Rattus norvegicus: one gene and its partner. The protein of the gene in region 1 binds, or shares a complex with, the protein of each later gene. Links are inferred from orthologs where the notes say so. Each region holds a gene or a part of one and is shown on either strand. Other genes may lie near its edges.

Region 1 (4,212 bases):
CAGAAGGGGCTCTGGGTGACGCATGCCTCTGGTCTAATAAACTGGGTTTCAACCATCTCTTCAGTGTTGGTTTTCTGTTTGTTGTTTGTTTTGTGTTGAGACAGGGTTTCTCTGTGTAGCCTCGGCTGTCCTGGAACAGCTCTGTAAACCAGGCTGGCCTCGAACTCACAGAGATCCTCCTACCTCCCAAACGCTAGGATTAAAGGTATGAGCTGCCAGCACCCTGCACTCTGGGTGTTAACCTTTAGATCGGAGCTTGCCTTGAGGGCCACACAACTAAAGAAATTTGGGTGGTAGTCTGGTGTGGTGGTTCCACCTCTAATTCCAGCGCATAGGAGATGGAGCAGCTGTTTTCCATCACACAGTGAGTTTAACGCTAGACCAGGCTATTCGAGACCCTACATACTTGATCAGGTAAAAACACTGATCCACCTGGAAAAGAACAAATTCAGGAATCCTCTGTTCCCTAGGCAGTGGACCAGCAAAGTAATCTAAAGCAACAGATATCCGGGTCTCTTTGGAGAAGATTCAAGGTAAAAGAATTCATTAAAATCTGAAGTTAAAGGTCTGAGGTGAAGGGCTAAGTTCCCGTGCCGGGGAGCTGTTAAGCCATTATTTATTTATTTATTTATTTATTTATTTATTTTTTTTTTTTTTTTTTGGAGCTGGGGACCGAACCCAGGGCCTTGCGCTTCCTAGGCAAGCGCTCTACCACTGAGCTAAATCCCCAACCCCTTAAGCCATTATTTATAAGATGAGGCCCTGGCTACCAGCCAGGAGACCCGAATCCAGGATGGCTTTTCTCTTATCTCGATTTGTCTTTGCCACGACATTCACCTCCTTTGAGTTCAGCTTTTCCGTTTGTAAAACGAACAAACAGCCTGTTTCCCTCTTTAGCATCCGGAGTCTGATCCGTAGGAAAACAAAAAGCAAACCAACCAGAATGCTTTGGAGAGGTAAACGCACTGGGCCGAGGTGAAGCATCACTCCAGCCGCCTGCGGGGTGGGCTGGGCTCTTTGCAAGGCCTTGACGTCCTCCAACCGCCCGGGGGCGCTCGCTCCCGGCACTTCTTTATCAGCACACCGCCTCTCTATGGTGCTCCCTCCTGGCCCGTGAAGGCGGGAGGGAGTGGTCAGCACGCCTTTCCCGCTAGTCGCCCCCTCTAGCCCGTAGTCTCGCTGCCCCGAGCCGCCCGTGCCCGCCGGCGGGCCGGGCCCACAAACAGCCCAGGCGCTCGGGGGGCGCGCGGGGGGCGGGGGGAGTTCCGGTTCCGGTTCTTTGTGCAGCTGCAGCGGCGGCTCCGGGAAGATGGCGGCCCGGGCGGGTTTCCAGTCCGTGGCTCCGAGCGGCGGCGCGGGAGCCTCAGGAGGAGCGGGCGTGGCGGCTGCTCTGGGCCCGGGCGGAACTCCCGGGCCTCCCGTGCGAATGGGCCCGGCGCCGGGTCAAGGGCTGTACCGCTCTCCGATGCCCGGGGCGGCCTATCCGGTGAGTGGGACAGGAGGAGGGGCGCGCGGGCCGGGGGCGGGGCCGAGCGAGGGCGGAGGACTGACAGGGGTGAGGGAGAAGTGGGAGGGACTCCCTAGGGAGGGGCTCGGGCCGGGAGTGGAGGTGGGGGAAACTGAGCGGAGGAAGAGTGGGGGGAAGGAGGTTAGCATCCTTACCTGCTCCCAGCGGCATTGTTTCCGTGTGAGGAGCGAGTGTGGAACCAGGGTGGGTGAAGTGGGCCCTGGGATGGGCATGGGATGCAGAGGGGAATGGGCAGCCCCAGTGTCTCCAGGAACACCCAAGCTATTGCAGCAAATTGAGGTCAGCCTTAGAGGAGACAGCAGCTAGTTTAAAAAAAGAAAAAAGTAGGACTAGAAATGTCTGATGAGTCAGATCCAGCATAGATCAGAAAATTCAAGTATAATCTAGTTTTTAGACTATATTCCATTAAATCACTAGTAGGCCTGAAGAAGCTCCAGTTACCATATTTCAAAGAAGCAAAGGATTGTCTTGTCCTCCACTCTACCCACCCCCCAGCCCTACCCCATCCCTGAAATCCAGCCTTCCACCACTTTTCCTTCCTTGGTGGGGCTAGCATGGAAAAATATGACATCTCTTGGTCCTCTCCCTTCTGTAGAGACCAGGTATGCTGCCAGGCAGCCGAATGACACCTCAGGGACCTTCCATGGGACCTCCTGGCTATGGGGGGAACCCTTCAGTCCGACCTGGCCTGGCCCAGTCAGGGATGGACCAATCCCGCAAGAGACCTGCACCTCAACAGATCCAGCAGGTCCAGCAGCAGGCGGTCCAAAATCGAAATCACAAGTAAGATGCCCCCTGGGGTGAAGGAAAGACGGGGATGGGAGGAGGCCTGTGAGGATGCTGATGCTGGGAGTCCCCAGGAAGTCAGGCGCTGCAGTATCAAATGGTGCTGCAGGGACTCACCCTTTTGAAGGCTCTCTGGCCTCGTGATGAAGTGGAGTTTTTGTGGTACTGGGAGATGGAGAGTCATCCCGTAGGCCGTAGTAGCTGTACCATAAATGGAGGTGCTCACAGCGATGCTCATGTTTTGACTAGTTCCTATCCCAACCTGATAACAGTATTTATTCTGAACAGTGCAAAGAAAAAGAAGATGGCTGACAAAATCCTACCTCAGAGGGTGAGTGCAGCAGCTGTAGAGGCCTTCCTGAAGGGGTAGTGGCTTTGAGAATAGAGGTGGTCAGCTCTAGGGCCTGACCCTATCTTTCTGTTCCTAAGATTCGGGAATTGGTACCGGAATCACAGGCCTACATGGATCTCCTGGCTTTTGAAAGGAAACTGGACCAGACTATTATGAGGAAACGCCTGGATATCCAGGAGGCCTTGAAGCGGCCCATCAAGGTACCAGGAGAGTACCAGAGGGTCACAGGAGGGAGCCAGGACGCTCCACCAAGCTTAGGAAGAAAACCCAAAGGCACAGCACATCTCTCTTTGGCATTTAAACTGCATCTTTCCCTTCTGCCTGCAAACCAGGAATTACATCAGGAGCATAGGAGTGGGGCGGCTGGCAAGGAGAGGGGGGGCTTCCCACTCTCTTCAGCAGAAACACACCCTGTCCTTGTTTTTGCTCCTCGCTACCTTGGGAACCTGCCACTTTGCACGACTTTGTCTCCCTGGCACCCTGGCACATTTACTCAGGCCCAAGTCAGGGCCTGTTTGCTCCTCAGTGGAGTCCTTATCCATCTACAAAGCCAGCCTGGTAGGAGTGACCTGGGAGCTTTAGGGAACCTTGTGCTCTTGAAGCCCCACGGTCAATCCTGTTTCTGCCTTCCTCAGCAAAAACGGAAGCTGCGGATTTTCATTTCTAACACATTCAATCCGGCTAAGTCGGATGCCGAGGACGGGGAAGGGACTGTGGCTTCCTGGGAGCTCCGGGTAGAAGGACGGCTCCTGGAGGATGTGAGTTCAGGGTCCATGGTGGTTGGTGCTCAGGGTGGGAGCTGTTGGGAAGGAGCAGTGCTGTGTGGTCAGCAGGAAACCTGACTGGTGTTCACCACTCCTGCTGGGAGCTTCCGGAAGGGGGTTGGGGGTGCTGTGTTCCCTGCCTACAAAGACAATGGTCCTTTGTGCCTACTCTCACAGCTTCTCTGGTATCAAGTGGAAACCTTTGTTGCTCTGGGGTCTGGGTTGTTGTTTACTTTGCCTGGTGATGCTGCCCTTCGGATTTCAGTGCTCACTTATCCCCACCACCATCTGTGCTTAGTGTTTGAGCCCATGTTTCCTCCCTTAGGTCCTTGAGGTTATTTCTGTCTTCCCAGGTTTCATTGGAGGCACCACAGTTTAAGTACGATAGCCCCCCCAAAGGCTTGGCTCTTTGTTGCTCATCAGACTAATGAGCACCCCAGACTCTCCACCCAGCAGCTCATTGGGGAGGCTCGCCGTTCCCTCAGAGCTCTGCACTCTGACACTTTTAAACTGTGTGCAAGTGAGCTCGTCTGATGCACTTTTGCTGGGGAACCGAGCTGCCTCTGGGTAGGTCCAGGCTATTTGCTGGTCATGTGTTCTGTCCAGAGAAAGGCAGGTTTTGTTCCCCTGCCTCTGGCCTGGGATTCATTTGCCCTCTGCTGTCAGGCTTTCCTCTGCTCAGATGTGCTTTGTTGTGCTAGCGGTTTGGCTTAACTTGAAGTCAGAGATCCTGTCCTTGTTACTGTGCTCCTGGGACCAGGACTGACTCAGTGGCCACCTGG
Region 2 (4,425 bases), about 3.4 Mb from region 1:
TCTGACACATATGCTATCACACACACACACACACACACACACACACACACACACACTCTCTCACCCTTGGTATATTCTAGAGTTCCTATGGAACTCACTAACTGCCAAGTTCTGTGAACTCTTCAGCAAGAAGTCTGAAGTCAATCTAAGGCAGCCAATAGGAAGTCCACCTGTGCAATTACCCTGTTTCCTATTTCAGAATCCTAAGCGCTATACAGAGTGACTAGTGCATTTAAAGCAATATGAAACTAAAATTATGCAGAAGCTACATTGCAAATATAAAACAGGCTATCTTGTAATGTCACCATTACCAACATTCATTAGAAATATTAAGATCATTATTTTCATTTTAAATAATTAAGGTTACTGTGGTAATCAAAGAAAAATAAAAGTTTCCTTCAAAATAAAGTACAGCATGAAAGTATAGGAGAAAATCTAAGAAGAAACCACTAAGTCACAAAATACATTATCTAACTGGATCGTATAAACAAGAAATTGACTTTCTGGAGTAAGCAGTCAAAATATAAGGAAATGAAAGAAAATTCCAACTATAATACCTGGTCTCAAACCATCCCCGTATTCCTAAAGATACTGGATAATTTTAAGTCGCTCAAAAGTTCAATAAATAACAAAGGAGTTCAAAAAGTTAATTCTGATCAGCCAAGGTATCTACATTGAATTATTTATGAAAAAATATCCCATTAAACGCAGAGTAACAGTTCCATGCAGTAAGTTTTCTTTAAACAAACAAATAAACAAACAAAAAATAAAATAAAATAAAAACCCATGAAATTGTAGGCGGTTAAGGGGTTTCCAAATAAAGAAGGGGGGAAAAAATCTTCCCACAGGTTACAAAGTTTCCTTAAGTATCCCAAGTCTTTCACTAAGCACCTTCTTTTCTGGCCCTCAGTGGCTACCCAGCAGTCAATAACAATGTCACAAAAGAATGTTTACAAGATAGGATATGGATTGTCACCTGTAATGGCTTTGTATGAAAAATATAAACGACTGTATTTTTAACCTGAGGAAAACTTCAGACTCCTACCATCTCAGTTTATTGACAGCAAATGCTTCTCAGAGTGAAATTAACAAGGGATTGGAAACTGTCTAGAGCTTAGATTTTGTTGTTTAATTGCCCCGAAGTCCCTCGTTTGCAAATACTGGGGAAAGACGCCACTACTCACCGCAAGTAATACTGTTTTAAAGCAAAGGCAGCGTTAGAACAACTTCTGGGAAAGTTGAACTCTTCAACAATTTCTCCCCACTGATTCTTCTCAGAAACCTGTTAAAAACACAGGCACACTTGTCTGAAAGTGCCCAATCCAAGAAAAACCTACCCTAACTTGGAAGCTAAATGACCCTTCTGCAGAGATCTGTGGGTACCTAAGGATCAGTGGGTGTCTGGGGTCGAGCCACAAGAGTTACCAAGCCAGGGCTGCTTGAATCACTGTGTTTTCACCAGAAAACCCTGTATTTAGCAGCACTTGTTTTGTTTTTGGGGGGGTTGGTGGGTTTGTTTTGTTTTTGAAGCCCGGACAATAACCAATCGCAAGTCCCTCTGTCGCCCCCTTTTAAACCTCAACGCGGTCCGTTTACACTAAAGAAAAAAAAAGTTCAAAAGGATCAATACTGCTCCGGACAGCGACGTCCGCGGGCTCTGGGGGGGCCGGGGCCGGGGCCGACTCCGATCCCTCTCCCAGATCTATCCATCTCCATAGGCCCTTCTTTGAGGCCTACAGCTTCTGCCTAGCCTTGAAGCCTAAGATGGCTATTTGCAGACAGGTCCTGCTTTCTTTTGTTAGCTGTAGAAAGCCAGGGCGAGCGGGCCGAGGCTGTGCCCCCGGCCGCCGGGATCATTTCGCAGCCGATTATCGATGTTAAACCTGCCCGCGCTAATTTTGAGTTGCACGAAAACTGCTCAGAGTCTGTGTGTCTCTGTGTCTCCGCCTGTGCTAGAGCGGCAGCGGCGGCGGCGGCGGCGGCGGCGCTGACTCGCGGGCGGGCGCGGGGCGGGCGGGCGCGGGGCTCGGCGGGCGGGCGAGCACTCTGCTCGCCCGCGCTCCCCGCCGCGCCGCTCAGACCCCGCGGGGCCGGCCGGACACCGGGCAGGGCGCTCCCCGCCGCCGGGCCGCACCGCCCGCCCAGCCCCGCGCCCGCCGCGCGCACGCGAGCCACCAGGCCGAAAACAGCCCCGCCGCCGGCCGCCTCCGTGCCACCGGCTGCGAGCGCCGAGAACGCCGTGTGCCCGGCCGACCGCCCCCCCGGCCCCGGGCGCCGGCTCCCGGGCCGGAGCAGACTTTTCCGAGCAGGCCAGCGAGAGGGAAATACAAATTAAAACTTCCACTCACCTTCGCGAATCCGCCTAAAGTAGTGACTCTGGTGTAGAGCCCGTGAAGATCCAGCTCCTTCCCACCCACCGCAGGGATCTTCTTAAACGGCGACCTGCGGGCGACAGAAAGCCCCGCACTTGTCACCGGGACCCCGCGCCCGCCGCGGGCCCCGTTCGCCCCGGCTCGCCCCGGTGCTGCCCCCCCGGTCCTGCTCTCACCCTCTGCTGTGGTGGAACTGCCGCAGCTCGTCCAGGAAAGCCAGTCCCTTCCTCCGCTCGTCCGGAGGCGCCTTCCCCGTCGAGTTTGCCATTATTTTGCCAAAGGAGGTCTCCCGAAAACCCAGATCGCGGTTCAAACGCGGCCCCCGCTCCCCGCGCTCCCTACCAGCGCCCGGAGCCCATTCCTCGGCCGGCGGTGGCGGGGCTCAGTCATGGGCCGGCGGTGGCGGCGGCGGCGGCGGCGGCGGCGGCGGCGGCGCAGGGAGGGAGGAGGGAGGGGGAGGAGGCGAGGAGGAGGGGAAGGAGGGAGCGGGAGGCCAGGGGGAGCGCAGGGCCGGAGGGAGGGGAATTTCTAAAAAAGTTTAAAGAAACGGGAGCGAAACTAGAGGGGCAGGCGACGGGCGGCCGGGCGCGGAGCCGCGGGGCGAACGCGGCCCCCACCCTGCCTCGCCGCCTCCCGCGGCCCGGCTCTGGCCGCCTCTCAGCGCCGCCGGCCCTGGCGGCTCGGCCCGGGGACGCGATTCAACATGGTGCTGCGGCCGGGGGCGCACGAGCCGGCCGGGGGCCGGGCGAGCGGAGGCGAGGGGCCCGGGCGGCCGCAGGCCTGGGAGTTTCGGCGGCGGCGGCGGCGGCGGCGCGGCGGGGCCGGGGCAGGCGGGGCCGCGTGGGGAGGGGGAGGTCTGTGTGGTGGCTTGTGGAGAGCGGGGTGACAGCGTGGATCCGGGCCGCGGCTCCGCGGGGCCCTCGCACACATTCACGCGCGGCGGCGGCGGCGGCGGCCCGGGAGTCCCCGGGCACAGGCTCCGGCGGCAGCCGAGCCGCTGCGCGCCGCCCGCCCGCCGGCCTGCCTGCCCGCCAGCCTTGCTTCTCAGCCGCCGCCACGGCCGGGCCGCCAGCGCCGCACAGCGCCCCCCGAGGGCCGGCCGCGGCACTGCGCCTGGCTCCACACGGTCGCGGCGGCTCCTCGCGGGGAACAATAGACTCGGCTCGCCCGGCTTAGGGTTCATCTGCAATGTGCAGCACATTTCACACGCACACAAAGCGGGCGGAAAGGGGGGCGGCGCGGGGAAACGGCCACTACCGGTTGTTCCGGGGTTAGGGGTGGAGGCGATGTTCGCGTCCCCCGGCGGACGCCCGCCGGGCCTCCCGCCACACGGAGGCTCGCACGGCGGCGCAGCCCGGGCGGTCGCGGAGAAGTCCGCTCGCCCCCTCTGGAGACGTTTCTAGCAGGAGGCGTCGGCCTCTGGGCTTCATGCTTGAAGGAAGCCCGATGAGCACATGGTCCATGATGGGGCCGTAAACTCACTTTGACAAACTGTGGGATCAAATAGGCTGGGAACTGCCTGCCCTACTTTAGTGGAGATAGAGTAAGGCTTTTAAGTCGTCCTCCCGTTTTTGGTCGGTTTGGTGCACCCAACAGGAGGTATGCAAACGGTCATCGCGCCTGTTGGGGAAATAACCTCCCAACTTTGAGAATAACATTGCTTATGGAGGGTTTTTTTTTTTTTTTGCACTCGTATCTGAAAGAGGGCAAAATGTTTTCACCCCTTCAGTTTTCTGTGTTGATTCTTTTTTTTTAAATGTGTAAATAGGGAAATAAAAATTTTTATTCTAGAATAAAAGCACCACTTAAATTTGTATCGACCGGGTGTTGGAACCCTCCCCGGTTTACAAAGGTTGAGCATCATGCTTCCCCTTTGGTGTATTAGGATTCCCATTTTAGAGACAGCCACTGGTGGCAAAGTCACTAGCCCAAGGTCACAGGATAGTAAGAGTCAGGATGGGTTATTTCAGGTAGTCTTTTCCGATGGGAGCACCTATCGGGTGACGGGGAGGGGAGGGAAAAAAAGAATTATGTAATACAGCGGAGCGTGCTT

Evidence for each region.
Region 2: Smarcd1 (region 1) and Arid2 share a complex: the UniProt entries of both Homo sapiens proteins name them as parts of the SWI/SNF-B (PBAF) chromatin remodeling complex. The link is inferred for Rattus norvegicus from reciprocal best matches to the Homo sapiens genes SMARCD1 and ARID2.

The regions. Positions count from the first base shown.
Region 1 is NC_086025.1:132,707,323-132,711,534, forward strand, and holds the start of Smarcd1 (SWI/SNF-related matrix-associated actin-dependent regulator of chromatin subfamily D member 1), read left to right. Parts: upstream 1-1,304; 5' UTR 1,305-1,309; coding exon 1,310-1,486; intron 1,487-1,536; exon of another isoform or gene 1,537-1,711; intron 1,712-2,123; coding exon 2,124-2,311; intron 2,312-2,602; coding exon 2,603-2,645; intron 2,646-2,743; coding exon 2,744-2,866; intron 2,867-3,301; coding exon 3,302-3,424; intron 3,425-4,212. UniProt on the Homo sapiens protein: Involved in transcriptional activation and repression of select genes by chromatin remodeling (alteration of DNA-nucleosome topology).
Region 2 is NC_086025.1:129,324,845-129,329,269, reverse strand, and holds the start of Arid2 (AT-rich interactive domain-containing protein 2), read right to left. Parts: upstream 2,900-4,425; 5' UTR 2,641-2,899; coding exon 2,549-2,640; intron 2,443-2,548; coding exon 2,349-2,442; intron 1,283-2,348; coding exon 1,185-1,282; intron 1-1,184. UniProt on the Homo sapiens protein: Involved in transcriptional activation and repression of select genes by chromatin remodeling (alteration of DNA-nucleosome topology). Required for the stability of the SWI/SNF chromatin remodeling complex SWI/SNF-B (PBAF).